Canis lupus familiaris: one gene and its partner. The protein of the gene in region 1 purifies or fractionates together with the protein of each later gene. This does not show direct contact. Links are inferred from orthologs where the notes say so. Each region holds a gene or a part of one and is shown on either strand. Other genes may lie near its edges. The genes, in order: EIF3D and EIF3H.

Region 1 (15,778 bases):
ATATGGCCTGGAAGACCCCAGGCTACCAGCCAACTCTTTCCCAAATTCTGAAATCATAGAAACCAACAGAGATAATGAAAGGATTATTGTTGTTTTAAGCTGCCAAATTTTGGAAGGATGTGTTGAACAGGAATAGATAACCAGAACAGAGGGCAATTTTATTTCCCTCCTGCCTAGGGAGACCAAACTCCCAGTTGGCATGGAGCTGTCCCAATTTATACCTTTTGTCTGGTATAATTCTTGATAGTGACCCCTTTGTCTCCCCAAAGTGCCCCAATTTGGATGGTAAATTATATGTTCAAGTTCTTGAGCATACCCTAGATCCTAACAACGCTTTGCCTCACAGTCTAGAATAATCAAAATACATGAGATGCCTCGCATGTAGGCAGCATTCAAAGAGATGGATGCTTGCTTTTTTGTCCCTTCCCCTTCTCCCTTTTTGTTCTGTCTGAATGCTCAGCAGTTTTGCCAAGGGATGTCGTCAGGCGCAGCCCCCTCGCAAGCTCCAGAGTGCCTTCCTCTAATATACGTGCCTCAGTGAAAACAGGGCACCTGCTACACAAACACAGCTTCAAGACAAGCCCAGAGTTCCCCCTTTTCACCAGATTCCTGTCACTAAGCCCCTCCCATGGGGAAATTCTGGAGCTGCCACTGATATTCAGGATAGTAAGGGTCTGAATAAATTAGAGATAGCAGAGGCAAGAGACAGAGGAGGAGAGGGAGAAAAAGAGCCTTCCAAACCTCAGGAAAGGCCTTCCCCTCCGCACCCCACACTGTAAGGGAGGGGAGCGTTTGAATCCACAAAATTGCTCTCAAATCCTGTCTCAGTCTTATTCACTGGGCGATGGGCCCAACTGGCCTGAGCCTGCTTCTCCTCCCCCACCCCGCCCCGCATAAATGGGAGGGTTGATGCCTGTTTCAGAGAACTCTCCGAAAGAATCAAAGAGATTATTAATGATATAAAGCACTCAAAAATGCTACTTCTCTTTTGAAGGTAGTAGAGGTTCCTGTTAGAAAATGCCTTTACCTTATCTGGAAGGGACACGCCAGAATGGTACAAAAGTCTGGTCAGAAAACGGAAATAACGATGCCTCACCTTTAGAGACATGAAGCGAGAGGATGTTAATGGAGGGCCTGGCAGTCACCTGTGGCTCTTTTTTCAATTTAGAAATTGCTTTGTAGTCACTGACTCAGCTAGACCTGCAGCTATTTGAAAACAAGAATCTTACTATCAGTCATTACACATATAGGGCCCTGCTGCAGAGGGGGGCTCTCAATGATACTCATTGAATGAATGATCACAGACCAATTTTTGATCCTCTTATCCACTAACTTAGTCAACCAATACTAATTAGGGACCTACTCTACGTCAAGCACTGTTCTAACAAATGGGAATGCAAGCCCTATCGCCACTCCCTCAGGGTGCTCCATGTGATGGAAGAGACATGTGGATCAAATATGTATGCACATAATCATTTAATTACCATTGCTACAAGTGTTCAGAGGAGGAAGCACAGGGAGTGGAAGGGAAGGTGTCCCCCAGGAAGTGCCTTTTAACCAAGAGCTAAAAAATACTCAAAGAATAGAGATGACTTCCATGCAGAGATGATAGCTTTTGGGGAATTCTTGAGGAAGAAAGAGTCATAGAACCCAGGCACTGAAAAGAATGTGGGCCATCAACTCAATGAAGATGCCCAAGCCAGCAGCTGAGAAGTAGCTCATCCACCCTGGCAGACAGCAAGCTCCAAGAAGATGAGGGGTGCCTGGACAGAGAGGTCAGAAGAGGGAGAATGTGTTCATGTGAAGGGGGGTGTAGAGAGGGAAGTTAAGTCTCCAAAAAGGAAGGTAGGTAGAAACCAAGCAGGAGGGACACCTGGCTTGGTCAGTTAGGCATCTGCCTTCAGCTCAGGTCATGATCTCAGAACCTGGAATTGAGCCCTCCATCAGGCTCCCTGCTCAGTAGGGAGCCCACTTCTTCCTTTGCCCCTCACCCTGATTGTGCTCTCTCTCTCATAAATGAATAAAATCTTTTAAAAATAAAAAGAGAGAAGAAAGAAACCAAGCAGGAATCAGAGAACCCAGAAGAGGGGAGGAGTGATTCCAGAAGTGGCCATTTTGTTAGAATTCTGACAAAATTCCCCAATGTGGGGAAATGAGGACCAAGTGGCACTTGAAGTGACACCAAGAAATAGACAAAGGAATTGGAAATGTTTACCGAAAAGTCCATAGAGGGTAAAGTGGCATCAGAGAATGAGTTCCCCAGCACTGGGCACATCCAAGCAGACGTAACACAACCAGCTAGACAGGTGTGACAAGGAGATGCCTGTCTAAAGTGAAGGCTGGACTGGATGGATGATTAAGGAAATCTCTTGAAGTCCCTGGCACACAAAAATTTGTCCTTCCCTCCTCAGAAGGCCACATAAGGGAAGAGAAGGGTTCTGTTCCCTCTTCCAGAATGCTGGTCTCCAGGATCTCCCAGCTCACTCCCTCATACTCTCCAGTGTCTGCTCAAAAGTCACCTCCCCAGAGGGGCCTCCCTGAACTCCCCCCTTATAAGTGCCACACCCCAGACCATTCTCTAACACAGAGACCTGGTGCAGCATCTTTACCTACGTCTCACATCTCTGTACATCTGCCCAATGTCTACCTTCCCCTCCTTCAGAGCAAGACCCTCGTGCACTTTGCTCCCTGCTGTGTCCCACACCTAGCCTATACTGGGCACATGGAAGGTGCTCCACAAATGTCTGTTGAATGAGTAAATAAGATCCCAGCTTTGCCTTTCACTAGCTGTGTGACCTTGTGTTAGTGACGTTACCTCTCTGAGCCTCACTGGACCAACTGTAAAATTTTTATTAAGATATTGTAGTTGTGGGGATCCCTGGGTAGCTCAGCGGTTTGGCACCTGCCTTCAGCCCAGGGCGTGATCCTGGAGTCCCGGGATCAAGTCCTGTGTTGGACTCCTTGCATGGAACCTGCTTCTCCCTCTGCCTGTGTCTCTGCCTCTCTCTCTCTCTCTCTCATGAGTGAATAAATAAAATCTTTTAAAAAAAAGAAAAAGATATTGTAGTCATGAGGTTAAGGACCTTGTCACAAATTGAAAGACTGATGATAGCCATTGTTGATAATGACAAATCAGTCATTCAATTGCCCAAAGGCAGTGTTTGTGCCTCTCCAAAGTGGGAAGACACTGTGAAATCTTTTGAGAAATGGGGATCTGCCCTCAAACCTACATTTTTCTGGCAAGAATGTTAAGGTTTTTAATTTTACAGCCTCTAAAGGCAATATCCAGAGGCGCTGGATTCATTAAGCATTTCCTGGGCATGCTCTGCGTACCAGGCACTGTGCTCATGAAACAATGCAAATTCAGGGTCTGGATTATCAGAGGTGGGGGACACAGGTACCAGAACCAGACATGTTGTAAGCACAGCAATGGAGGGCTCCACCAAGTGCTGTGGACACACAGAGGAAAGGACCTGTCCACAGAGGTCACTTGTGTATCCAGCAAACATCTTCAAGCACCAATGGTGTGGTAATTCTAGATGCTGAGGATACAACAGTGAACAAAGCATGTAAGATCCCACCTTTTATGAGGCTTCCATTTCTAATAAGGAGATAAAAAAAACAAACAAGATAATTTTTTACAAGACAAATGTTAGTCATCCAGCAAAACACCAACACAGAAGCAAAAAGCAGCAGGAGCCACGTGGCCTCCTCAGTTCAAAACCCCAGTTTCACAATATACTGTTCGGCCTAGAGAACTCCTCCCTATCTTCATCTGCAAAACGGGAATAGTAGGCTTGACCTCACACAGCTGTGGTGAGAATTAAATAAGTTAATGTAAATCCCTGGAATAGTGCCAGGCATGTGATAGTGAGAAAGTAAATAAGCACAGCATGAGGCTACTGGGAGGAGTGGTCAGGAAATCTCTGATGAAGACATGAGTGCATGAAGATCTAGGGGAGATGCATTCTGGGCACCAGAGGACCACAGGTAAAAAGGTCTCTGGGCAGTAATGAACCTGGGTATGACCCAGAAAGAGAACACTGCCAATGAGAAGCTGCCATTTCGAAATTTGCAGGCCACAGAACAGAGTGCAGGATTTTATCCCAGGCTAGAGGTAAGCTACTAAACCGTTTTGAAGGAGGAAGATGGCAGGTCGGGCACACTCTGATTTAATGCAAAGAAGGGTCATCCCAGCTACATGTGGACAGTGGGAAAGACAGAGAAGCAGCAGAGGTGTGGGCTGAGAAGAGGAATGAAGGCAAGATCTCCAACCCAAAGCCATAGGCCCACTACTGAGAATGAGACAGGACACTCCAAATCCTTCTCCATCTGGGGAGACGTCTGGGCCAAAATATGGGAAAGATGATTAAACTCTGACACAAGGGAGAGACTGCAGCAGATGGCCTGTGAACCCACAGTAAAAAAAAAAAAAAAGAAAGACATGTTCTAAGCAATTGAGCAAAAATACATCTCCCCTTACATTTTAAAACACCTTACAATTAATATTGATCTTAATTTCACTAATGTTGAGTGCTTGTTTATGTGCCCAGGCTAATGTGATAAATTTCTCATTCAATTCTCATAAAATCCCCATGCATTCACTCAACAATTCGATAAGTCTGTATTACTGGCCCTACTCTAGGCAAGACAGACAAAGGCTCTATTCGTATGGAGTTTATACTCTAGAGGCAGAGACAAAACCTAAACAAGAAAACAAAAATATTTCAGGGGCACCTGGGTGGCTCAGTCAGTGAAGCATCTGCCTCCAGCTCAGGTCATGATCCCAGAGTCCTGAGATGGAGCCCCACATCAGGCTCCCTGCTCAGTGGGGAGTCTGCTTCTCTCTCTCCCTCTGCACCCCCTACCTCCCCCACCCCCCGCTCATGCTCTCTCTCAAATAAATAAAATCTTTTAAGAAAATTTTTCAGAGCATGATGAGAACTACGAAGGAAATGGAGCAGAGTAAGAGGGTGAGGAGGGACGCAGGGAGGAACAGCCTCCTTAGAAATGGTGGTCAGAGAAGATCTCGTTCACGGAGGAGAGAACTCTTGGAACAGAGATGTAAATGATGGGACAAGGCAGCTACAGTTAAATCTGGGAAAGAGTGTTCCATGCAGGCGGCACAGCCACTGCCGAGGCCCTGCTGAGCTAGATATGAAGTTGATGTACTTGAGGCAGAGAAAAAATGAGCAGGGTGGCTACAGCACATGGAAAGGCAGGTATAGGGGCACCAGGGTTGTACAGTTGGTTAAGTACCTCTTGGTTTCAGCTCAGGTTGTGATTTCAAGTCGTGAGACGGAGCCCCTGTGGAGCTCTGCCCTCAGTGTGGAGTCGGCTTGAGATTCTCTCTCCCTCTTTCCCTACCCCCACCCCTGCTTCACTTGCTATCAAATAAGTAAATCTTAAAAAAAAAAAAAAAAAAAAAAAAAAAAAAGGATATAAAGTTGAAAGGTAGCCAGGGACCAGACAGGCCACAGGAGGACACTCATGTTTCACTCTGAGCGCGTAACAGGAAGCTGCTAGGGGACTGTCAACAGATCGCTTTGGGTACCACTGGGGGAGGAACCTAGAGGAGCAAGAGTGGACACGCGGAGTCCAAGCAGGACGCTGGTGCTGGTGGGGGAGGTGCCAGCGTTCAAGATGTATTTTGAAAGCAGAACAAAGAGCAGCCCCGGGTTAAGGACTGAATGTGGGAATACGGCGGAAAGGGAAAAGGAACTACCAGCGATAACTACACGGCTTTGCACCGAGCACCATTAAGTGGGTGCCATCAACAAAAATTAGGAAAATTGGAAACTGAGCAGGTTGGGAGACAATCTGTGGAAACAAGAGTACCCAGTAACATTTTCATTTTGCAGATGAGTAAACAGCTTGAGAGAGATGGAATAACCTGTGGGTGTCATTTACTATTTTCACACGAACTTATTTTTACCCTCATAGGGCCCCAATATTATTTATTATCTCCAGTCTGCAGATAAGAAAACTGAGGCCCGGAGAGGTGAAGCCTGCACAGCTAGTGAGTGGCAGAGCCGAGCAGGAAATCGGATCTAAGGGATTTATTTTCCAATGAAGAGGTCAGGCTGGAAGACTGGTAAGGAACCCTAGCCGGCCGGATAGCAAAGGACCTGCGGCTGGAATAAAAACACATCCTCGGATTGGATTCTCTTTCGGTGGTTTTGAAATCGCCGACTAGGATTCCAGGAGAAATTCGAGGCCGGTAGTCGCAGACGGGACAGCGAGCACATCACTGCGCACTTGAGTCCCCACCGCTACCGAACACGCAAGGTTCCCGGCCTCCAGCCGGACGACGCGGTGGCACAATCCCGGGCGCGAGCCCGGGGGCCGCATCCTCCACGTCAGCGGCGGACGTCGTCGTGCGCGGAGTCCGACCCCGGAGGGCGGCCCGCCTGCATTCGCGGCCCGGGCTCCCTGGGACCCCTCCGCCCTCTGGGCCTCGACCTGGCCCCTGCTGTGGGACCCGAGCCCCACGAACGGCTGGAAAAGGCCGGAGCCCCGGTCCCCGCGGACACCGAGGCGCCGGAGCGTCGGGGAAGCACAGGGACGCGGAGCTGCCCTCGCGCTCCCCGCCTCCTGCCTCCAGGGCACGGCCGCCACGTTTCAAAAACTCGGGACGCCCTCTCGGGGCGCCGCCGGACGCGCCCGTGACGTAACTGTAAACACACCTCCGGCGTCTGGGCTCCTCGGAGACCGTAAGGCCACCTCGCAGAGAACAGTGACGAACTTCCGGGCGTGCGACGGAGACCGTCGCTTTACGACCCGTGCGTTCCGCGGTCGACTCCGGAGGAAGCTAGGGGGCAGTTTACGACAGCGCCGATGGTGTTTGCGGCGCCGGCCGGTGCGCGCGCATCTTTCCTCCCTTTTTACCGGGTTCCTCGGAGGGCACCCGGGTGCGCGGTCTCCGGCCCGGACCATCTCTCGCCATCGGGGCCGGCGGAGGCCTTTACAGGTGAGAGGAGTGTTCCGTAGGGCTCCGCGGGTCTCTGGAGCCGGCTTGCGCTGGGCCCGGCCTTCGGAGGGGAGGCCTCCCGGAAGAGACCCCCGTACCCCGCGGCCGCCGCTGCTCCTCCGCTGGGCGGGGCAGGACTCCGCCTTCGGGGACCCCGGGGCCCGACACACTTAGGGATGCGGGGCGCGGCCTTGAGGGTGGGGTCCCCCGGTCTTAGGCGCCGCTTTGCGGCCACGGCCTGAGCGTCTTTGACAGTATCTCTTAGCGCCGTTGGGTCTCCGGGCCTTCAGAGGGGCCTGCGGCTCGCTGAGTTTGTGTGAAGGTTATGGGGGGCTCCAGGCTGAGCAGGGCTCGACCTGCTCCCAGGGGTTCCCAGCCCAAAGGTTCTTCCCTTTTCTGCGAAATGGACGGCGGTGGCGGCGCAGGTCTGGTCTGATCTGAGGCGGTCTCCCCCCGGGGCCGGTGGCTTCTGATCTGTAGTGGCCTGCCCGCCGAGCGCCCCCGCCGAGCGCCCCCGCCGAGGCCCGGAGGGGCCTCCCCCGCCCCTGTAGCCGGTACGGCTGTCACCGGCGCACCTCACCGGCTGTTTCTGCTTCTGGTTCCATCCTGCTCACTTTTACTTTACACGCGTTGAAGCCAAGGGACTTCCTCCCACCCGCTGGAAAATGCATGCCAAGCCTTGGGTCTGTTTCCTTCGTCAACTGTGGCAGAACAGCCAGATTTTTTAAATATCATTAGTGTGTTACTAGGTACCGCCTAAAGCCCCGTTTCTTCTCGGGCTGCTCCCCAGCTATAACAACGGGAAGAATGCTGGGCTTAAGACAGACAACCCTGGAAATCAACTGTGTTTTGAAGCAGTGGGCAGATGGACAACCTAATTGGCCGAGCTGCAAAATTTTAATCTCCAAAAAGGGCGTGTGGGTGTGGTTAGTGCTGTTAACTTCTTTAGCATAGTGTCTGACACATCGTAGGAGCTCAGTAAATACTCATTTTAACATGAATCGTCGTGAAACTGCCACCCCTCTTCTCAGTCCTCTTCCCCTAGTATAGCTTAAGCTGAGAATCGGAGGAGGGAGCTCTCAGGAACGTTCCCTGTTGCTCTGATTCCCGGTGTCGCTTCTGTAGGAAGCCTGACTCTCCCCAGTATGGGACACGGAGGAGAACTTACTACAGTCGCTGTACCTGTTCCCTGTGGTTACTCTCCAGGCTCCCGAAATGAATTTTCCTCTGGGAACTCAACCTGAGGATTACGACAGATGGATGATAAGTGCATAGGTCTTTGATCGGAACTGTCAGGCAAAGATCTGTTCTGTAGCCCGTGGCTTTTACTCACTTGGGAGGAGCTATAGCATTACGCAGAGTGTGGGTTCCAGCCAGACTGCTTTTTTCAATTTTTTCATCAACTAGCATTGCAAATTTGAACGATTTCTTAGCTTCTGTGTGTGCCTCAGTTTTCTTATCTGAAAAGTGGGGATGACGCTAGCCGCTCCCTCAGGATTGTTGGGGGCATTCACTGACTTTATGCAGGGTAGATAAGAACATTAACTGGTACTGATAATATCTACAAACATGTGATGTATGGCCACTTTTATGACCTAGAGTTTATGGTAACCTCAGCTTTCTGACCAGCTTTTAACTTGGCTCTGTGTCCACTTGTTCTGCATAAGGATTTATATTGATAGAAAATTAGAAAAACAAGAAAGAAAAGTTAGATATCAGGATATATTTCTGGACTCCTTTTTTTCTCAGCACTCTGCATGTAAATATATTTTTGCAAGTCCCAATTGTAATTGTGTGGCATTTTAAAATGAAACTATTCTCCTACATGTAACTATCAAGGCCTTCACAATGATCTTGTAGGGTCTTGATTTATTTTACAGATGAAAAGACAAGGCTTGAGGAAGCTACAAATTGTATACCTTGGCAGAGGTGTTTCTGAGAACTAGAATGAGGTTATTACACTTGAGACAAGGTTACTCATTCCATCAAATCTAAGACACCACTCTGAGACAAGGTTACTCATTCCATCAAATCTAAGACACCACTCGGTTTAAAAAGCACTACTATGTTATGTAGCACTAAAAAAGAACACCTGCCAATTAAGACAGCCTATCAAGCATGAGATGCAGCCTCATTTCAAAGACATTATAGTGGGAAAAGCGGGTGTCACAGAATCAATGCAATATGGTAATTTGGTTTTGTTAGTGGTCTTCTAAGTATTTCCAATATTATCTATAGGAAAATAGTAGAGCTCAACAGTTGGGTGTTCCATATTGTGTGTTGCTTTTTGAATTTTATCATTGTGTCTTAGATTACCTCAGTAGGCTTTTTGTGTTTGGAGGCCTTTCTTCGTGAAGCTACTCACATTATTTGTATTTTTAAGGTTTTAGAAGATGGCAAAGTTCATGACACCCGTGATCCAGGACAACCCATCAGGCTGGGGTCCATGTGCGGTGCCCGAGCAGTTTCGGGATATGCCCTACCAGCCATTCAGCAAAGGAGATCGGCTAGGAAAGGTACTCACCTGTTAAAGTAAATCTTTTAAGCTATAGCTGCTACTCTCTGTTAGTTAATTCCAATTGTATTATCTCAAAAGCATAACTTGTGAGTTCCTTATAGGGACACCAGCTGGGGAAGGTTCTCACATCTGGGTACTTGCAGTCATCATTGGAAAGCTGGGCACTTACAAAGGCCTTGGGAGCCGGTCCTTCTTACATTGTTCCCAGACTATGTCTTCACTTACAGGGGTTTCTGGGTTAGGAGAAGCATGTCTGATTGACCTGTGTGCTCTTTCTTCTCTTGTTGCTTTTACAGGTTGCAGACTGGACAGGTGCCACATACCAAGATAAGAGGTACACGAGTAAGTGTTCAACTGACTACCCAGATCAGGGCCTTGGGAGGATTGTTACTTTTTCTAGTAACCTCCATCCAAAAGCATTCTAGAACAGGAACAAAATGCTAATGATAATTCATGGTTTTTAAGGGCATAGTCTGAACTGTAGACAATACCTACTTTTTTTTTTTAATGGACTCCAAACTTAGATTGTTCATTAAAGAGGTTTAATCTGTTATAGTGGAATTTTTTTCCTCCCACTTTTAGGGAGCCATGAACCTTTTCACAGATCCTTGAACTCATTCCCTTTTTGCACTCCAGTGCCTGGGAGTTACTGAACCTTTGAAGCCAATCAGTAGACTCCAGATTTTAAGATCCTGATGGACTAAATGGGTTATTGTTTGTTTTTCTGTGCCAGTTGAGATTGTTGGAAGTGGCTAGTTGGAATACTAAGTTAAGTTTATCAGGATTGAGGTCAACAGTAAAGTATATCATAACCCATTAGGCAGTTGATGCAGATAATTGCATATTTGCATTATGCATGCCACATATTTGTCCCTTCTGGGAGAGTAAATCTTAACTCCTGTTCTTACAGAATAAGGCAGGGTGTGAAATGGGCTTGAGGTCCTCAGACTCTGTTTTGACTCAAAAAGTTCTTTAGACCAGAACTGTTCAAACTTGAATGTGCACATGAATCTCCTGGGATCTTCTTAAGAGGCTGATTCTGATTGAGTGGATCTGGGGCGAGTCCATATGCATGCGCTTCTGCGAAGGATCCTGAGTGCATGCTTGAAGTAGCAGGGCTTTACACCAGCATGTGTGTAAAGTCTGTAGGTGGTAGCTGTTACACATCACTGCCTTTGCTTACAGATAAGTACTCCTCTCAGTTTGGTGGTGGAAGTCAGTATGCTTATTTCCATGAAGAGGATGAAACTAGTTTCCAACTGGTGGACACAGCACGCACACAGAAGACTGCCTACCAGCGGAATCGGATGCGATTTGCACAGGTAGGCCAAGGGCCAGCAATCTTACCATCTTGGAGCCATTACCATTGGTTGCCACCTTGTGCATACTGGTGAGAGGAAAGTGCATTCTCATAGGTCTTCCAGTGACTTTCAAGTAGCTGACCAGTGACACGTTGTGCTAAAGTAAACTTACACTGGGTCCAAAGATGCATTTTTCTTAAAGGTTTTATTTATTTGAGAGAAAGAGCATGAGCAGGGGTGTGAGGGGGTAGGGCAGAGGGAGAAACAGGGCTGCCCACTGAGCACAGCCCAACCCAGGACTTGATCCCAGGACCCTGAGATCATGACCTGAGCCAAAGGCAGGTGCTTAACCAAATGAACCACCCTGGCATTCAGATAGTTTCGGTTTTTGTTGCCCAGTGGCTAGGGCATCATGCCTTTGTGCTAAGAGAAGGTGTTTATGTCACGTAGAAAGGGGCCTGTTGCCTCATTTGATTGCCGTGTGCAGGTTTTATTAAGTAGAAGGTCCAGTCGGGCTGCATCTTACTACGTAAAGAGGCAAACTGTAACTCTAATAAAAGCCCATAAGCCTACTTCAATAAAAAACGTGCAAATGTATGTCTAGGCTAAACCCAAGCGCTCCCATTGAGCACTGCCTTTTGTCTGTCAAATCCCCAAGATTTTGACATGGGTGTTTTTTCTTAATTCCCAGCGGAACCTCCGCAGAGACAAAGATCGACGGAATATGTTGCAGTTCAACCTGCAGACCTTGCCTAAGAGTGCCAAGCAGAAAGAGAGGTGAGGTTTTCCATCCTCCTGGAACACGCTGTTCTTCAAGACTGACTGTACTCTGAAATCACTGAGCCAAAGCAGGAGGATGGTTGTCTTCCCCATAATTGCAAAAAAAACAAAACAAAACCGCCCTGATTCCAGGGAAACCACTGGTTTAGCCTGCCATCGTCCTCCAAGGGCTATTCTTGGCAGATAGAGGAGCTGGATGGTACTTGGCAGTGGCCATGCACACTGGTAGGAAATGAGGGCAAGTAAGTCAAGCCCTGGGGCTCACGTAGGCTCGGTTCTGCTGTGGCACAAGTCCAGGGGCATCCTTCACACTGGGCCCTGGGAGCTGTGTCATGCAGCAGCCCTGCCTCAGGCTGGGGCTGCCAGTAGACTCTGCAGGGGGGGCAAAGCCTACCTGCTCGGCACTGGGGAGCAGCGTACTTCTAGCACTCTAACATGGCATGCTTTCACTAGACTCTTTTTCACTAAGCCCCTATTTTCTTTGTTGCGAGAAGTCCTGATGTTGAGGACGAGGTTTAGTGGAAGAGAAGGGCAGCTTCTGCCTTTTGAGAAGCCATTGACTTAAAGGTCTGCACCCACAGCACAATCTTTTTACCTTTCTAGAGAGCGCATACGGCTGCAGAAAAAATTCCAGAAACAATTCGGAGTGAGGCAGAAGTGGGACCAGAAGTCACAGGTAGTGTATCCACACCAGAGTTTTCTCTAGAAACTCAATTTTGCTGGTTTATTTGGTTTTATGACCACTTTATTGAAACAAAATCCACATGCTATACAATCCACCTACTTAAAGCATACAAGTTCAGTGGTTTTTGGTACATTCACAGATACGGGCCAGTGTTACTGCAGCCAGTCTCGGAACATTCTCCTCATTCTGAAAAGAGCCCGGTACCCTTCAGCACTTAGTCCTTGTTCTCCTCAGCCCTTGGCTGTTACCAGTCCCTTCTGTCTCTGGATTTGTGCTTCTAGACATTTCACATAAACAGAATCCTAAACAGAATGTAGTCTTTTGTGTCTGGATCCTCCCACTGAGCATGTTTTCATAGTTCATCCACCTCGTGGTGTTTGTTCATGCCTCCTTACAGCCAAACTTGTATGGATATACCACGTTTTGTTATCGGTTCACTATGGTTTCCGCTTTTTGCTGTTATGAAAAATGTTGCCATAAGCATTCGTGTACAGGTGCTTATGTGGGCACTGTGAGGATAGAAGACACCCGTAAGCAAGAGAGAAGCTTCAGTGGCAGCAATTAAGATTTTGCTGGACACAATGCTCGTTGTGTGTTAATGTCCTGAGAGAAATAAAAAACTGCTAAAGCTTCTTTTCTGAAATACATACACGTGAAAGAGCTGGTGTTCCCTGGGTGCTGACATCACCTTCAAGTAAAAGTCCTGATTGATTTTTATTTCTTGACCCCTTCAGTCATTTTCTAGATCATAAACTCCAAAGAGTCAGGGATTCTTTTATAAAGCAGCCAACACATGGCAAATGTTCTGAAGAGATTTATTGACTAAAAACCCTTCACACTGTTAACATGCCTTTTGCTTGTGTTATGCCCTAGTTGTAATTCTTTTCCCTCCACTGGTTTTGCACTGCAGAAACCCCGAGACTCTTCAGTTGAAGTCCGTAGTGACTGGGAGGTAAAAGAAGAAATGGACTTTCCTCAGTTAATGAAGATGCGCTACTTGGAAGTATCAGAGCCACAGGACATGTAAGTGGCATCGTTTGCTACCTTCCGCCACGCACTTAGGTGTGTGGACCTGCTGCTGGTGACTTATGTTCCTAAGCCATAGTATTTCCAAAAGAGAATTTGAAGCTGCTAAGACATTGCACAAGATTAATGTGTTTTTAAAAATCAAGGCTAAGGCGAGACTAGGAGAAAGAAGTTCGCTGATGTTAAACTTGAGAGATTTCTTTCCACTTCCTGGCATCGTGAGCAAAAGAGAAATCAAGTTGTGTGGCTCTTTTGGCAAGAAGAGAGAGTAGTTTGTCAGAAGCAAAGCTTTTCCTGACATTACAAAGAGCTGTTTACCTCAAGTAGCAGATCAATGTCAGTGGGGACCGGAGTACCAGGTTAGAAGTCAGTGCATCTGGAGGCCTCTAGAACTACCTGTCTCTTCATCTTGGCCTCAGTCACCATGTCATTAAAATGTGGAGGTTGAGTCAATCAGTTTTGTTCATGCTGCTCTGTGGGGCCATATCCAGAGCTTAGGGGACGGGCCCTGAGTGAACTCTGAGAACTTGTCTTCTGTTCTCATCAAAGAAAAACCATTTCTTATTTTTTAGATTTCTGGATAAGAGTTTGGATTCAATGTCTTTTCGTTTTAAGATTTATTTTAGAGAGAACGCACACAAGCAAGGGGATGGGCAAAAGGAGAGGGAGAGAATCTCAAGCAGGCTCTGTCTCCCTGCTGAGTGTGGAGCCTGATATGGGCTTGATCTCACCACCCTGAGTTTATTACCTGAGCCAAAATTCAGAGTTGGCTGCTTAGTGGACTAAGCGACCCAGGCACCCTTCTATAATGGCTTTTAAAATACAAACAAAAAATAACAAAAGCAGCTGATGATCTTCCCGTTTCCTTTGTGTGTCTTCTCCACTGTCCCGTCAGCGAGTGTTGTGGTGCCCTGGAGTACTACGATAAAGCCTTCGACCGCATCACCACGAGGAGCGAGAAGCCGCTGCGGAGCATCAAGCGCATCTTCCACACTGTCACCACCACAGATGACCCTGTCATCCGAAAGGTGGGCACCCTGAAGGAGTGCTGCTGGCTTCTACAGTTGAGGCTGCAGAAGGAACAGCACACAGGCACATCCATGGATCTTGGGACCTCAGAAACCCTTTTAGACAAGATGCTCCCAAACGGGACAGGACTAGATGGGAATACAGGCACCTTGCTGGCTACACCATAATGTTGGGGTTAAGCGGAGGTGGACTCGAATCCCAGCTCTACCGGGCTCCCCCGCACCACCTACCTGAGGCCTTTTTTGCTTACCCATGAGATGGGTTGAATGTGCTTACCACCAGCCACTGGAGGCAGGACGAAAGCACTGCAAGGTGCCATCCTGGAATATGGCAAGTGCTCAGAGAGCTGCAGTCCCTGTATCCCAGGGTGGTGACTGGCCATGGAAGCTTGTGGGCTGGTTTGCCGGACTCACCCCTTAAGACAGGTTAGAGGGGTGTGCACGTGTGCTTGAAGGCAAGAAAGCTCCCTGCAGGGGAGTCCTCCGTGCACGTGGGCTGTTTGGCCTAAGTGTATCTTCACATCTCTCTTTCTCTCTGTCCTCTTTGCAGCTGGCAAAAACCCAGGGTAATGTGTTTGCCACTGATGCCATTCTGGCCACACTGATGAGTTGCACCCGCTCCGTGTATTCCTGGGACATTGTTGTGCAAAGAGTTGGGTCCAAGCTCTTCTTTGATAAAAGGGACAACTCTGATTTTGGTAAGAAGCCTGTCTGGGAGCAGCACAAGGTGTCAGGTGTTCTGTTGGTTTCGAGCAAGTCCCTGCTACTAGAGAGTGGACGGGAAGTGGTCTGTGTCCTCACAAGCACTGATGGCTGCAGCTGAATCCCTCCCCGCCTCCTCAGCGAAGGCCTGTCATGCACTACCTCCTCGAGGTGCCAGATTTCTGAGTCCTCCCATAGCCCCAATACTATGTGTGCAGGTGTTACTCATTTGAATGGCATTTTCCTGGCTTCTGTCAATGCTCCATACCACCTTTAACATTTATTCCATGTTTTCTTTAAATTAATGTTTCTTTTACCTTTATTTCAGTGTATTTATAAAGGGAAGATTACATGTGCATGTATTTGATAACAACATAAATGTGTATAGACACACCATGAAGGGAAACCATGTCACTGAAATTTGATAGCAGTGAGATGGAATGATATAATTACATTCCGCACCAGAGGCTTAGGACCTTCTTCTTGTTAAAAAGCTGACAAAATCAGATATTATTTTGAGGAATCCAAAGGGACTGAAAGGGGATCGTTGTCTTATGATGTGCTTGAATTTAATGTTAGAGAGGATCCGAAGTTACCCAGTAGTGCTTCCTGCTTCCTCGCCTCTGCACCCCGCGCTTGGGAGAGCTGGGTTAGCAGATGCTGGAAGGATGGGCCTGTGTTGCTGGGATCGTGGCCCCTCCCTGCATTGCCAGGCACATTGTTGATGACTCGGTTTCGCTGGTGGGTGACCACGCTGCCACTTTTGCA
Region 2 (14,985 bases), on another chromosome or scaffold:
ATTACCCAAGTACATTTTGAGGTTCTTAGGACCTGTATTACGACACGTAGTATTTGTCCAGCCCTGCTGAGAATTCAGGAAAAAGGCCAAACTGATAAACAGTGTTCGAATACTAATAATACTGTTATAAGAACCCTCTGATGCCTTTGTTGTATTATTTTTGCTTTGATACGGTAAATGCCCATGAGGGAGGGCTCTTTGGGGGAGGGGGTGCTTAGCTTTATTGTACACTGTCCTTAGAGGATTATGGTATTATGTCTGGATGTTCAATAATGCTGAGGAAAACTGTGAAAAATGCAAATGCTTCTTTGTTTTACTGGTAGCACTTGCCCTTGTTCAGATGCAGACTCTTAGTGAATTTCCAATGTGGCTTTTCAACTAAAATTAGAATTTTCCGAATCTGACCCTGGCTTTTGGTATCTTAGATGGGGGTGACATAACTTCCTCCATTGTGACTGGTTTAGCTATCTAGTTGCTAGATATTATTTATTGTATTGGTAAAGTGCTGACTGATGTGTTCCAAATAGATTATTTCCTTTATGGAATTAATGTTTCTTTTCTATCATTTATTGCTCTTAACAGAAATATAAGCAGAATCATCTATAGGTAGCTCCTATGAAATCCCCTGTAAGCTTGATCTTGGTGATTGTTTTGTGGTGGGAGTATGCTAGCAGCAGACCTGTAGAATGAAATTAAATAGAGTAGTAGGTAGTCAGTATGCATTTGTTGAATGACTGGAAGAAACAAGGTATGTTTTCTTAAGCAACCACTTTGGAATAGAAGCACAGTTGTTTATCAAGTTTCTCTTATCCCAGATAGAAGCTTATACAAAAGAATCTACAGACTTTGTACTTCTTTGTTATAAGACAACTAGGGTAAACCCAGGAGGACCAGAGAACCCAGTGTTGTTTTCTGTGCTCTGGGGTGGATAGGACTGTGCTTTAAGTGCCACTTTTTATTGCATGAATCCATCATAGGGGCCACTAGAAAGTCTGTACAGAGGAAGGAGACGGAAACTGCATGGTGAACGGAGTGCTAAGTAATGCAGCCAGCTTGCAAGGCTAATTTGGCACTGAAGAGTGTACTGTTGACTGCAAACATATATTCATAATAGTCCTTTAATTTGTCTCTTTTAGAAGGTCATACTTTTCTTTATTGCTTTTGCAAACACACTCAGCACACCTGTACTTAAAGCATTGCGCTAAGAACATTTCTTTAGTGTGCAAGGTTACAATTTGATGTATTAAGTATATGTAGTTATACAGTAATTTTAAATTTACTACATGAAAGCGTTTGCTTATATAATTTATGCCTTCACCTTTTCCAAGTTTATTGAGCATACAAAACAAATATAGCCTCTTTGTGCTTTAAATTACCAATGAGCTGGTCCATAATGTCTGTTTGTCCAAAATAGCATTTTTCAAAAAATTTATTTAAAACATTTTATTTATTTATTTGAGAGAGAGAGCATGAGCGGACAGAGGGAATGGGAGGGCCTGATCCCAGGACCTTGGGACCATGACCCGAGCTGAAGGCAGACACTTAATGGACTAAGCCACCCAGTTGGCCCCAAAACAGCATTTTTAATAGCCAAGAAAACGTTCCCAGTTTGCCATAGCAACTAAGATCTAGAAAAATGTTTTATTATAGTTTTTATCTTCTGTATTTTAAGTGAAATTGAAAGAGGGGCCCCTTCTTTTTCGTGTGAAATTATTTAAAAGGTAAATTTGTGTTCTTGTTGGAAGGAAAAAAATAAGGCAAGCAACCCTGGAGCAGTGCCTATACTAATCGGCTATTGTATTCATCCAAACTGACAGTACTGTTTTATAAGAATGAAATATAACCTTTGTACATCTCCGATTTTAATTCTTTGAAGATTTATTTGTTTTAGAGAGAGAGCATGCAAGCAGGGGGATGGTTTGAGGGAGAGGGTGAGAGAGAGAATCTCAAGCAGACTCCCTATTGAGTACAGAGCCTAACATGGAGCTTGATCTCACGACCCTGAGATCATGACCTCAGCCGAAATCAAGAATTGGATGCTTAACTGACTGAGCCACCCAGGCACCCTTCAAATTTTAATTTCCAACTTTAATAGCATGATGATAATCAGGCCAGTCACCATAAGATTTTTTCTGAGAAACCATATCAGAAATCATGTCCAAACAGCTCCTCAAATATTTTGCTTGGTCTTGCTTTTCACAACCCATATGTGGATTCCACTTTTTTGGTTTACTTGATAAATTTGTTTTAGGCTGTGAATAAAACATACTACATTTCCTTTCATTTAATTTTTTTTTCTTTTTTAGTTTTAATTGTATTTGTTGGAAGTTCTAGCAATGGCTGTTTTCATAACAGCCTTTAAAAATTTTTAAAAATCTGCTACCCAAGTCTTCAGCTTTTCACACATGAAGAAATGATTCTGTTTTTATTTCTCCTTTAAACAAGTAAACTGAGGATGGGCATTATACATTAAGGATAAGGATAAATTGATCCTGCAACCAGAGCAGACTTCTCACTGCATGTCTTGGTTTCACATCTGTTTAAGTGAGCTGTTTTTCAGTTCTTTGTTTCCTTGACAATAAAAGAAAAGGGTATATTACTGAAACTCCTAGCAATAATTCCCTAGTTCAGTATTCTAGTTGAATTGGTACTAAAAAGATCCCCATAAAGTTGTTCTTGGTAATGGACCCGATTCCCTGTGAATGTTATCTGTGAAATAAGTATTATTTTTAATTATTTTTGTCCTTCAATATCTGTCATGCAAATTTTTGAGTGTTTCTTATTGGATATATTTCTGAAAAACATTGTAGTAATATAAATGTTAGGAAATGCTTAAAGGCCACATATCTGTGCTTGTCTTCTTTCAGTAATTGGATATATCTAACAATATATAATAATAGTACTTTATATCAAAGACATTTTTTGGTGGAGAGGGAAGGTCTATTCTAGTAGCACCTTTCTCATTGCTAAAATCAGTATAATCTGTCTCTAGGATTTAAGGTGTGGAAACAAATAATAGCTCTGTCTCTGTATCTGGCAGTAACTGTACTTTATGGTTTTCTCCAATGTCACTACCACCATCACTACCATCTCTGACCCACCACCCTAACTAATTGTGTAATGACAGCATTTCTTGCCAGCTCTCTGAGTCTCAGATCTTCTACTGGGGAAGTGAGAGTTGGTTCCCCCTTCCTTAAGGCTGTCCGATTCCCATCCATCCTGCCTTCTTGGGATCCAACTTGATTCTTCTATACTCTTTCCTCATATTTTCAGTTGCTATCTGTACTGGTTTTCTATTAGCTTTCTTGACTTGTTTTTCCCATTAAAAAAAATTGAAAATATTCAGCTCCTTAGAAAAACTGAAAGAGAATGAGCTGATGAACACACGTAAACCGTTTCCTAGATTCACCACTGATCCATCTTGCCATATTTGTACCTGCTCTTTGTCCATACACATAAGTACATGCTTTTTTTTCTGAACCATGTGACAGTGAATTGCTGACATGACTTTTAACCCCTGTTTGAACATACATCTCCCAAGAATAAGAATGTTTAAACTTAAATCTCCTTCATCTTAAAAAACAAAGTTACAAAAAGAGCACTTTTTGACCTCATGCTGTTATTATCCATTTCCTTTCATCTTTTGGTTCATAGTCACCTGTTTGTTTTTTAAGATCGATTTATTTATTGGAAAGAGAGCACAAGTAAGTATGGGGTGGGGGGTTGGAACAGAGGGAGAAGGAGAGAAAGTCTTAAGCAGACTCCTCCCCCATGCAAGGCTCCATCTCCTAACCCTGAGGTCATGACCTGAGTGGAAATCAAGAGTTGGGTGGCTAACTGAGCAGCCACTCAAGCGTCCTGTATTCACCTGTTTTTATAGTCAAACTTCTTAGTGTTCCTTTTCTTCTCTGTTGTCAGAGCTCTCACTAAAGTCACAAAGGGTGACTTTATCACTGTGTTACTACTGGGTGTTGTAGGCACTCAAACATTTAATGTGTTGATGACTCCTTCCTGAAATAACCTTTCTTTTTGGAGTCTGTGCAACTACAACTCTGGTCCTTCTCATTCTCCACAGTGAGACCTCTTTGCTCATCCCTAAATATCATTGTACCTCAGGGTCTGTCTTCCCATGTGTACATTCCTGGGGTGATTTCATCTTATTTCTGTGTCTTTTGCTACCTTTGGCCAGGGCCTCATTATTTCTAGTCCTGATTACTTTCGCAGTCTCCTAACTTCCCGCTTTTAACCTTTTCCTCTTTCATTGTAGTGATCTTGCTAAATGCAAATTGTATGATTATATTACTCCTTTGCTTAACTTTTTGACTGGTTCCCCACTGGCCTTAGAATAGAATCCAAACTTCTAGTCCCGGCGTCCAAGTCACTGTGCTGTGCCTGTTGTCTGCCTTAGTTTCACTGCTGTCTTTCTTCCCAGTCTCACCCTTCTGGGCATTTCTTCAGAGGCATTCTGATTTTCATGTCAGAGTGTCCGAACACACTGCCTTCACCCAGTAGCTGCAGTGTCCTTCCTGTTTTCCTTGTCTCCAGATCCTCTTCAAAAACTCAAAATTCGACTGTCAAATAATCTGGAAGGTCTCATCTGGTCCTACCAAACTATCTTTTCTGCTTCCATTCTGTTAGAGCAAAGACACCACTATGCTGTGTTTATCTGTTTGCATTCCTGTTTTCTCACTAGCATAGGTGGAGTTTAGCAATGTCTTACATAGCTTCAGTAGCTGGTAGAGTGACTGGCAAAGTTCATGTATACTCAGTAGTAGCTATTGAAAGAGTACATTTAGCGGACAGATTATTGTTAAATTTTAATCTTGAAGGAGTTTGGAACACAGTGTGGCTATGCATTCAGTGGACCTGGACATTTGAGTAGCTGCTTGATAGAAAAAATCATTTTAATTGCTCAGCTTGCAACATTGGCCCAGACACTTAATTAGAGGTGAGTTAAAATCAAGCTGTTAAAAAATTAGAAGGAAACAGAAACAAATACTTAATCTCATTTCCAAAGAAAAAGAAATATTTTAAAGTAAAAAAAAATGATTCACAAAATTAAAATGCAATTAAATGGAATAAGAAAAATATGAAAATTTAACTGGAAAAAAGCACTTTTTCAGAAAACTGAAACTTTTGAAAAAAGATTAAGTCATTAGGCCAAGTCACTGGGCCAAGGTTATGTAGATGCTGCCAGTCCTAGGATTTGAGGGTACATTTATTCACACACACACACACACACACACACAGCCAATCCTAGGCTTAGAGGTTACATTTATTCATATGCGTGCACATGTGTGGTGTGCCCCCCACCCCCCTTTCTGTGCTCTTTCTGCTATTTAAGAAGGAGCCAAAACTTGCTAATTTTCTCCAGGTTACAGATACAGTCCGTTTAGGATTCATAATGTAACTGGATTACTTTAATTTATTCCCAACATTCCCAGTCTGTTCCTTCCTAAACCTGCCCCTTCTCTGAAATGCCATAGCCAACCATTCAGCTGCTCAAGCCAGGAAACTGGGAGTCGCTCTTAATTTCTCTCACTTCTGCCCATTTTTCCCATGCTTACTGCTACCATCCTCATCTAAGCCATCACTGTTTTCTCTGTAATACCACAATAATTCTGTGTATGTATGAGTGTGTGTGTATAGTGTTTAAAGTAGAGATAAGGGCAGCTGCGGTGGCTCAGCGGTTTAGCGCCGCCTTCAACCCAGGATGTGATCTTGGAGACCCGAGATCAAGTCCCAGTCCCACGTTGGGCTCCCTGCATGGAGCCTGCTTCTCCCTCTGCCTGTGTCCCGCCCCCCCCCCCATGTGTCTCTCATGAATAAATAAATAAAATCTTGAAAGAAAATGAGTATAAAGTAGAGATAAAATTTACATAATGTAAAATCTACCATCTTAACCATTTTAAAGAGTATAATTCTGTGATTTTTAATATATTTACAGTGTCACCCGTCCTTCCTCCACAACCTGGCAGCCACTCATTACTTTCTGTTTCTACGGATTTGCCTATTCTGAATATTTCATATAAATGGAACCATACAGCAAGAGGCCTTTTGTATCTGGCTTCTTTTACTTAGTGTAATGTTTTTAAGTTTTATTTATATATCAGGACTTCATTCTTTTTATGACGTAATAGTATTCTGTTATATGGGCATACCACAATTTATCCATTCATCTTTTGATGACATTTGTTTTTTTTCCACTTTTTGACTATTATGAATAATACAATTTTTAACATACATGTCTGGTGTCTTGTGAGCAAATGTTTTCAGTTCTCTTGGGTATATCTACCTAGAAGTGGAATTGCCGTGTCGTATGGTAACCTAACTTTTTGAGAAACCACCAAACTATTTTTCATATAGTAGTTGTACCATTGTAAATTCATTCCCACCACAGTGTATGGGTGTTCTGGGTTCTCTATATCCTTGCCCGTACTCCACAATCAACTCTTAACTAATCTCCTGGTTTCTACTCTCCAGTCTGTTCTCTGCATAGTAGCCAGAGTGGTCATTAAAAATTTAAAAAATAATTTTTAAGGATATTATTTATTCATGAGAGACACACAGAGAGAGGCAGAGACATAGGCAGAGAGAGGAGCAGGCTCCCTGTAGGGAGCCCAGTGTGGGACTCGATCCCAGGACCCCAGGATCATGACCTGAGCCAAAGACAGATGCTCAACCACTGAGCCACCCAGATGCCCCAGTCATTTAAAAGTTTATGGCAAAATCTATTGCAACCATGTACAACTCAAGGACACCATTTATGTTGAAGTTGTGGAGTCTCGTTCACGCTAACTGTGGTTGGTGTATTTTGTAGTGCATCTAATGGCTTCCCAGCTGTGCTTGTCCTTTGTAACCTGTCCCTGTGCTCCAGACATGCCAGACCTCTTCCTTTTGTCTGCCTAGTTCTTGCCCTGCTCAGGCATTCGGCACTGATGCTGTCTTCTGCCTGAAATACTTTGTTGCTTGGTTGATTCCTTCTGATCGTTTGCTTTCAGCCTGTTCTCTCCTGAAGGGAAAGAGATATGGCAACCATACCATCTGTATGTCTTTTTTCTCCTTCCCACTCCCACTCATTTGTAAGCTCAGTGAAGATAGAGACCATGAATGTCTCATTCATGATTGTTTCTCTGTTTGCTAACACTGAAGTCAGAACATAATAGGTACTTTGTCCTTGTTTGAAATGAATGAGCAAATACTATTTGTTAACTAGTTATTTTAAGAATACATATATGTAGTAGCAGGCTTTACTCTGGTAGGAGATAGTTGCAAGCAGAAATTAATGAATATGGTGTTCAGAGTACTAACCAGGAGCATCATTTTCTAAGGTGATTTTGGTAAGTGAATTGTAATAGGAATTTCTGAAGAGGAAAAGAAGTGTGAATGACTGTACTACAGATTCTAGGAAGGGCAAGAAGAAAGGAGCCTTCTTTCTTCACTTGGCTTTCCAGAATAAATGCTATTGTTGTTCTTTTAGAACCTGCTAGATAGAGAAACCATGTACCAGAAGTCTTAGTGTGTTGGCATGGTCCTTCCTTTGCATGGCTCCTCATTTAAATGCTCTGGAGCACAGTTGGGGAGAGGGTTGTGCTAAGAAAAAAGGTGCAGGAGTACTGAGCTTAAGTTAAACATGGTTGTTCAGAAAATACACATTATAACCTGCTAGATACGTTTAACAGCCCCTACCCTGATATATGTATGCTCTGACAATAAGAAACTGAGCTATATCAGATACTCTGGTGGTTACAGTTGTGGGTTCAGTATGGAAAGTTTAATAACAAGCTGACTCAGATTCTTTCCTGTCCCCTGCTTTCATGCATATGTGTGCTCTCATTCATTTGGCAAATGACAGATCAATATAATATCTCAGGAGTGTTTAGAGCAGTGGCAGAGCTATAGCTTTAAAGTATGATATGTCGGTATATTTACCTTTCAGCAATCATTTGGGGAAGAATCTACAGTTGCTGATGGACAGAGTGGATGAAATGAGCCAAGATATAGTTAAATATAACACATACATGAGGAACACGAGTAAACAACAGCAGCAGAAACATCAGGTTAGTGTTATGGGAAAATTTGACAAACACAATTCATTTCTAAGTATGGTGCTTCAAGAGTTATCTTCAAAATGATCAAAATCATATTTGATAAAGCATTGACTATTAGCTAGTAACTCTACATCATATTTAATTTATTATCATATATTATTTCTAAGTTGTACTTAAAAATACCTGTTTTAAAGAGAGCCGATGTATTAAGCTCAGATTGTGATGGCAGTGTTATGCAAATAAGAGATACATTTATTGAGAAAATCAGAGGCAAAAGAGATTCTGGAGTGTCACAGCTCATTTCTTTACTAACTATAATTGGTTTGGTAGTGGCTCATTGCAGCATAGTTAGCAATCTTCAGTTCATTTGAAAAACTGAGCAATTGTGATTAAGAGCAAGCAATTTTGATAGGAAATAATAGACCAACTGCTGTGAAATAGATAGTATAATACAGATAAAAACCCCAGAATTATCTGAATATTCTCATATGCACATATATACTGCTGTGGCCATTTAACCTTTTCTTTATTCGTGTTGCTTGACGGTCACATGATTTTCACAGTTCCTGGAATATTGTTTTTAGACTGTATTGCTCTGCAGTGTTCTTATAGCATTTGATTCATAGATAAGTTGATTCCAGAATGTTCATCTGTGAAAGCATTTGTATATGATTACTGTGTGTTCATTAAAATATATGTTAAATTAGGTATTAACTATAGTTTTCAACACAACTACAACTTAAATGTCTCTGAGAATTTTATATTTTTAAAAATTGTTTTAATATCAATATTCATATATAGTAAAATTTGAAATACTTTGTTTCTGCTGCACTGAGGATTTAAAAGACATATGAATCTATAAAGTATATACTTTTTAACCGAAAAGAAAATGAGTGGTAAAGATGGCAATGGTAAAAAAAACTTATAAAGGATCAGGGGAAGACAAAAAAAAAAAAAAAACCCTAGCTTAATTCCATTCTCCTGCTGATTCTTCCCATAGGTAAAGGATGCAACCTGGAGTATCAAGACACTTGATTCTGGAACCAATCTTATAGATGTTTTCCAGACTTCCAGCATGTCTTAAAATTTTGCATTTGATGTTCATTTGTACCAGCACCATTCAGTACCCTTTTTAGATTTGTCAGGCTTTTACCCTCAAACCCTGTGATAAGTTTAGAAATCTTTGCAAAAAGGAGGGTATTCTCCTTCTTAAATTTTTTACCACCTTGGTTTCTCATTACCTGACCTTCTAAGGCTGCATGTGGGATATTTTCCCTCTGCTATTGTGAGCAACCCATAAGTATTAATCTCTTGATTATGATTTTCTCAGTAAGTTTGTACATACCTTTAGATGTATGCCCACCTTCTTAGATTTCTAGGAATCTAATTTGACAGTTTTTGAAACATTATCGAAGCTAATATTCATTCTTAGCTATAGAGCTAAAAGCACAGCTGATTAGTAGAAGTATTTACTATAATAACAATAGTGATGATGTTAACAGTATCAGCATCATCAGCATTATTGTTGTTTTGGTCAGTAGGGATAAAGTTGAAAAAGTTCCCCAGTGTGGTGATTGATTACTTTGTTACTACAGTTAAGATGAGTCATACTTATAATGCTGTCATTTACCCCATTTTCCTAAATGGTAAAAACACTGCCCTTCACTCACTAATCATGAGCTTCTTTGCCTTTAAGCCCTCATTTGCCACATAACCAGTTTGCTTTCTGCATGTCATTGGTTATAGACTCTTTTTTTTTTTTTTTAAAGATTTTATTTATTTATTCATGATAGTTACACAGAGAGAGAGAGAGAGGCAGAGACACAGGCAGAGGGAGAAGCAGGCTCCATGCACCAGGAGCCCGACGTGGGATTCGATCCCAGAGCCTCCAGGATCGCGCCCCGGGCCAAAGGCAGGCGCCAAACCGCTGCGCCACCCAGGGATCCCATGGTTATAGACTCTTCAGAGCTCAGAGTAACACAAGAGTTTCCGATAAAGAAATTTTCTTTGTTGTCATATTTATTAGCTTCTTAGAAGGAGGAGTTACCATGGATTACCATTTATAAAACTGAGCTTGGAATTCAGGGCAACGGGGTTTTTCTGATTGCATAACTGAGGAGGCTTTTTATCTCCTCGGGTAGAGAAAAATAACCAAATCATTTCTTCTCTGAATTTTAGTATCAGCAGCGTCGCCAGCAGGAGAATATGCAGCGCCAGAGTCGGGGAGAACCCCCACTGCCTGAGGAGGATCTGTCCAAACTTTTCAAACCACCTCAGCCTCCTGCCAGGATGGATTCTCTACTCATTGCAGGTATTGTTAGCCAGTGCAAACATGGCTAGTTTTCTCTTTTCCTTAGGAAGCAGAAGACAAGAAGAGATTTATAAACTGAAAAATACATCGTAAAAGCTAGTGTATTTAAAATGGTTGAATGATGAATTCGAATCTAGCACCTATAATTTCTGAAATTTAAGAATTTGTCAGTCTTTGTTATTTCTAAGGTCCTTTCAGTGCTTCTTCATTCTGTGTTTATCTAAACATTTTTGAGATGGCATTATAAACTTTCTAAAGTGGAAAGATTTTATTTGAGTCATCTTTCATAGAAACCAGCGGAAAATGTTTACGTTCCAAAGCAGAAGATCATTCAGCTCAAGCTGCTTGCTTTTCATGTTCCAGCCTAGCCCCACGTCTGCATGTGGGTGTTTGAACTGAATTGGATTTTCTGACTGCAGGAAAAGGATTTCCCTTACTTTGCCTTACATTGTAGCAACAGGAATGCAATTCTGGATGTGCTTTGGGAGTATCTACCATTTAATACTGCCTTTCAGTGGTGGAGTCTTATGTCCTATGTCAGGACTTGATTTTGCTCTTATTTATCTATAATAACCTTATTTCTGTATAAATGTTGCTAAATACTGTTTGATTCAATCAGCCGGTTGCCTGTGAGAGATTTATTAGAGTGAAAATCCTACTTAAAGAAAAGCTGATATTCCACAGTTTCTCAGTTCTGCTTATACATTTTCAGTGTGTGTAGGGGGGGTGGGGTCAGATTCCAGATTTTTAAAAACTTTCTAGAACACATATAAATTAAATTTGGGAAACCGAGGCACATTCCTTACTTAACATCCAGTTCAGGCGGAGTTGTATTATATATATAAAACACCTTGCATGAATGTTGTATCAGATTAGATAATGAGTTTTAAGACTTAAAGAGCAGTGACGGAGCCCTTTCTTCATGGGGACTCTGTTTCTGCTCTGTCTTGGATCAGAAAAGGAAACCTTAATATTTTCAGAGCACAGCCTGACAACTCCTGCACTTGTGCACATCTGGGTCAGGTGGGGCCATTTCGTTTGTAGTTCTGTGATTTCGCATCTCCTTTGTACCTGGCTGAGGAGAGTCCGTGCTGTTTTCCCACTTGTCTTAGTACAGCGTGTGTCCGATCTCCATGGTCACTGCCTTCTGAACAGCTAATGTGTATGTAACCACTGTAGTTTTTCTTCAGTCTTCACGTAACCAAGAGTGGAAGGTAGCTTCTTTTCAGAAGAACTTATGTTCTTTATTATAAAGGTGGGGACAAACAGAATTGATTCCTATAAACTCCTGATTGAAAACAAAATTTTGATGATTCTGTATTATGCTGATTTTCTTGCTTCCCTAGTGTTCTAAGTCATTTTGTAATTTGTGGAACATTATGACTTTCTTTCTCACTTTCCCCAATGCACAGGCCAGATTAACACTTACTGCCAGAACATCAAGGAGTTCACTGCCCAAAACTTGGGCAAACTCTTCATGGCCCAGGCTCTTCAGGAATACAACAACTGAGAAAAGGAAGTTTCCAGAAAAGGAGTTAACATGGACTCTTGAGATCACATTGGGGCAATCCTTGGAAGAAATACATTTGTGTATTGAAAAGTCTTTCTAGCTAATAATAAAATAAAAATAAAACAACCTTGACTGCTTGCTTATTTGATTTTACGTGTAGTATATATAGCTTGTTATTTTTGTTTTGCTTATGCTATTTATCTCCACAAGATAAAACAGATTTGACCAGAAGCTACATCAAGCTCAGAGCTAGGGGCTCCCTCACCTTTGCTGCTACATCTGAGGTGCCACATTTCAACATATAGTCCAGTGCTACTTGTCCTAACTCCTGACCCGGAGGCCCTGGCACCTACTGTGAATTCTTTACCTCATTGCTCCCAAAGTAGTGCCCCTAGAAGTCCAGGCTTTGTGAGCTTGCCCAGGCAGCCCTCATCCTCAGGCCTAGAATTGCTTGGCATGCTTCTCATTGCTCCACTTTTTCACTTCCATAGGTAGTGGTCAACCAGTCCCCATGTTGATAGGTCATTAATCAGGCATGATAATTTTTTTAAAAGTTTCATCCAAAAAAACATATTTTGTATGAAAATGAAATACATTCTGTGTATATATATTTTATTTAGAACTTGTTTATCTTTTCTATACGATGAAACATGCTGACAGCATATTTTCTAAGTGGGGAGAGAAGAATTGGAAAAACAGTACTACTTTGAGGGAGGGGGAACCTTTTAACTTAATATTTGAGAGATCATCAAGGGGGCACCTGAGTGGCTCAGTTGATTAACCATCTGCCTTTGGCCCAGGTCATGATCCTAGGGTCCTGGGATCCAGCCCTGCATTGGGCTCCCTGCTCACAGGGGAGTCCCCTTCTCCCTCTGCATCTTCCCCTGCTCGTATTCTTTCTTTATCGTTGGCTCTCTCACTCTCTCACTTTCAAATAAAATCTTGTTAAAAATAAAAAATCCTGCTATTTTAACACCAAAGTAAGTGAGATCTACAGTTGGTGGAAGTGTGTCTGTGAGGCTCTTATTTAGTGATTCTCACCTTGAAGATATGGCCCATAGGAAGACAAAGAATGGGTAAAGGATAAGAAGAGTTGAGAAACCCTTCCCCCCCCCCCCCATATTGTTTTGGAGGTACCCCTGGGGCTCCAGAATCAAACAGTTGGATTGAAACCTGACTCTTTTCCTCTAAGGTGTCCTTAAACTAGTTGCTTAGTCTCCCTGTGCCTCATTTTCCTCATCCAAATTAGATGAGAAAAGGAGACAAGTATATTACCCTATAGGGTGGGTGTGAGTGTTAAGTTTATTGAAGGGCAGCCTGGGTGGCTCAGCGGTTTAACGCTTGCCTTCAGCCGAGGTCATGATCCTGGAGACCTGGGATCGAGTCCTGCGTCGTGCTCTCTGCATGGAGCCTGCTTTTCCCTCTGCCTGTGTCTCTGCCTCTCTCTCTCTCTGCGTCTCATAAATAAAATTAAAAAAAAAAAAAAGTTTACTGAAGATTGGGGTAAAGCACCTAGAACAGTGGTTGTTATGTCACAGATGCCATAGAGTTTATGTTGAGAGTTAAATTCTTGGGATATTGGATTGTTAGCAGGGTTTTGCTTTTAAAAGGTCATGGCCTTTGAACATTGTAGAATTCAGGGACGCCTGGGTGGCTCAGCGGTTGGGCATCTGCCTTTGACTCAGGGCGTGATCCCGGAGCTCCAGGATCGAGTCCCACATTTGGGCTCCCTGCATGGAGCCTGCTTCTCCCTCTGCCTCTCTCTGTGTGTCTCTCATGAATAAATAAAATCTTTTAAAAAGAACATTGTAGAATTCAGATATTTGCTCACACAAGTTAATTTTTCTAGGATAAATTTCTAGAAATGGACTTAGTGGTCAGAGAGTCTGTAAAATTCTGAGGCTTTTTACCCGTATTGCCAAATTGCCTTCAAGAAAGGTTATACTGATTTGCTCTCCCACCCATGGTGCTTCCTTATATGAGTCACATATTTTGAGTGTGACTCTGTGTTACATAGATGAGATGTATTGATAAGCAAAACTGGTCATAGTCTCTGTCCTTGTGGATTATATACTCTTGGTTTATTTCCTTGCATTCTAATTCCCTACATTTGGAATTCTGTTGGGAGTTAAAACACCCTTGAGGTATCAAATAGCAAAATAGAAGGAAGGAAAATCAGCTCAAACATAATTACTGTTTTCCTCATGGTGTAAGATTAATTTAACAGGATTCAATTATATTTTTAAAGACGTGGTTACTTCCTAAATTCCGTATGACTATTTAGATACCCATAACTCAGAGTAATATGTGAGTACACACTTAATGGAATATTTTAGGTGTTTTGGGTTAGGAATTACTGTAGTGGGAAAAACTGTTTAGGGAAACATGTCAGTGGAAATTAAATCTGCACAGTATGTAGTGTTAGAGACTAGCTTCTGTTCGGCATTTGATTTGAGTGCTATATTCTGACATTTTTCAGGAACAGATACGTATGGTTCATCTTCTATAAATATTTGCAGTTTCTTCAAGTTAAAATGAGAAAAGCTCATAAACTGAGTATCAGGTCTAATAAATCATTCACTTACCCAAGAACAAAAAGACAGAAAAAACTAGCATGTTAATTTAATGGAAAATTAAATGTGACAAAGCGGAAAAGTAAAACATACTTGAAATTGACCCCATGATCATTGATCACCTTTTTAAGGTTCTAGAAGACATAGCATTATTCTTAATTGAAACTACCTGAGAGAATAAATTTTTAGCCTGCCCCGGATAACCTTATTTTTTAAATATTGAGGTAAACTAAAAACTATTTTCTGCATTTTTGGAAGCCTGGAAATGGAGGTGTAGTTATCTAATGTTTACTTAATCATTTTGGATTTTCAGATTTTAGTGTTTTTAGTGTTGTTCACACTATTTTTATTAACAGTCTTTGGAAAATCTAAGTGAAACCTTCACTTTCAAACCATGCTGGCATTGAACTCTGATGTAGATATTAGAGTCTTACGAAAGAATTATTTGAGTTTTATGGTAAACATTTCTCATTCATATTAAATATATGCCATTTGTCCATTATTTTCCCCTTTGTCTATGATAGACACAGAGAGAGACAG

The links.
Region 2: the proteins of EIF3D (region 1) and EIF3H purify together in Homo sapiens (affinity purification with mass spectrometry; 10 studies listed by BioGRID and IntAct, counting the BioPlex papers as one, with this or other methods). This does not show direct contact. The link is inferred for Canis lupus familiaris from reciprocal best matches to the Homo sapiens genes EIF3D and EIF3H.

The regions. Positions count from the first base shown.
Region 1 is NC_049231.1:28,884,338-28,900,115, forward strand, and holds the start of EIF3D (eukaryotic translation initiation factor 3 subunit D), read left to right. Parts: upstream 1-6,819; 5' UTR 6,820-6,970; intron 6,971-9,353; 5' UTR 9,354-9,363; coding exon 9,364-9,486; intron 9,487-9,784; coding exon 9,785-9,830; intron 9,831-10,673; coding exon 10,674-10,810; intron 10,811-11,431; exon of another isoform or gene 11,432-11,480; coding exon 11,481-11,566; exon of another isoform or gene 11,567-12,172; coding exon 12,173-12,245; exon of another isoform or gene 12,246-13,164; coding exon 13,165-13,277; exon of another isoform or gene 13,278-14,175; coding exon 14,176-14,308; exon of another isoform or gene 14,309-14,858; coding exon 14,859-15,006; exon of another isoform or gene 15,007-15,778. UniProt on the Homo sapiens protein: mRNA cap-binding component of the eukaryotic translation initiation factor 3 (eIF-3) complex, a complex required for several steps in the initiation of protein synthesis of a specialized repertoire of mRNAs.
Region 2 is NC_049234.1:16,476,198-16,491,182, reverse strand, and holds the end of EIF3H (eukaryotic translation initiation factor 3 subunit H), read left to right. Parts: intron 1-7,939; coding exon 7,940-8,060; intron 8,061-10,229; coding exon 10,230-10,362; intron 10,363-11,774; coding exon 11,775-11,872; 3' UTR 11,873-12,004; downstream 12,005-14,985.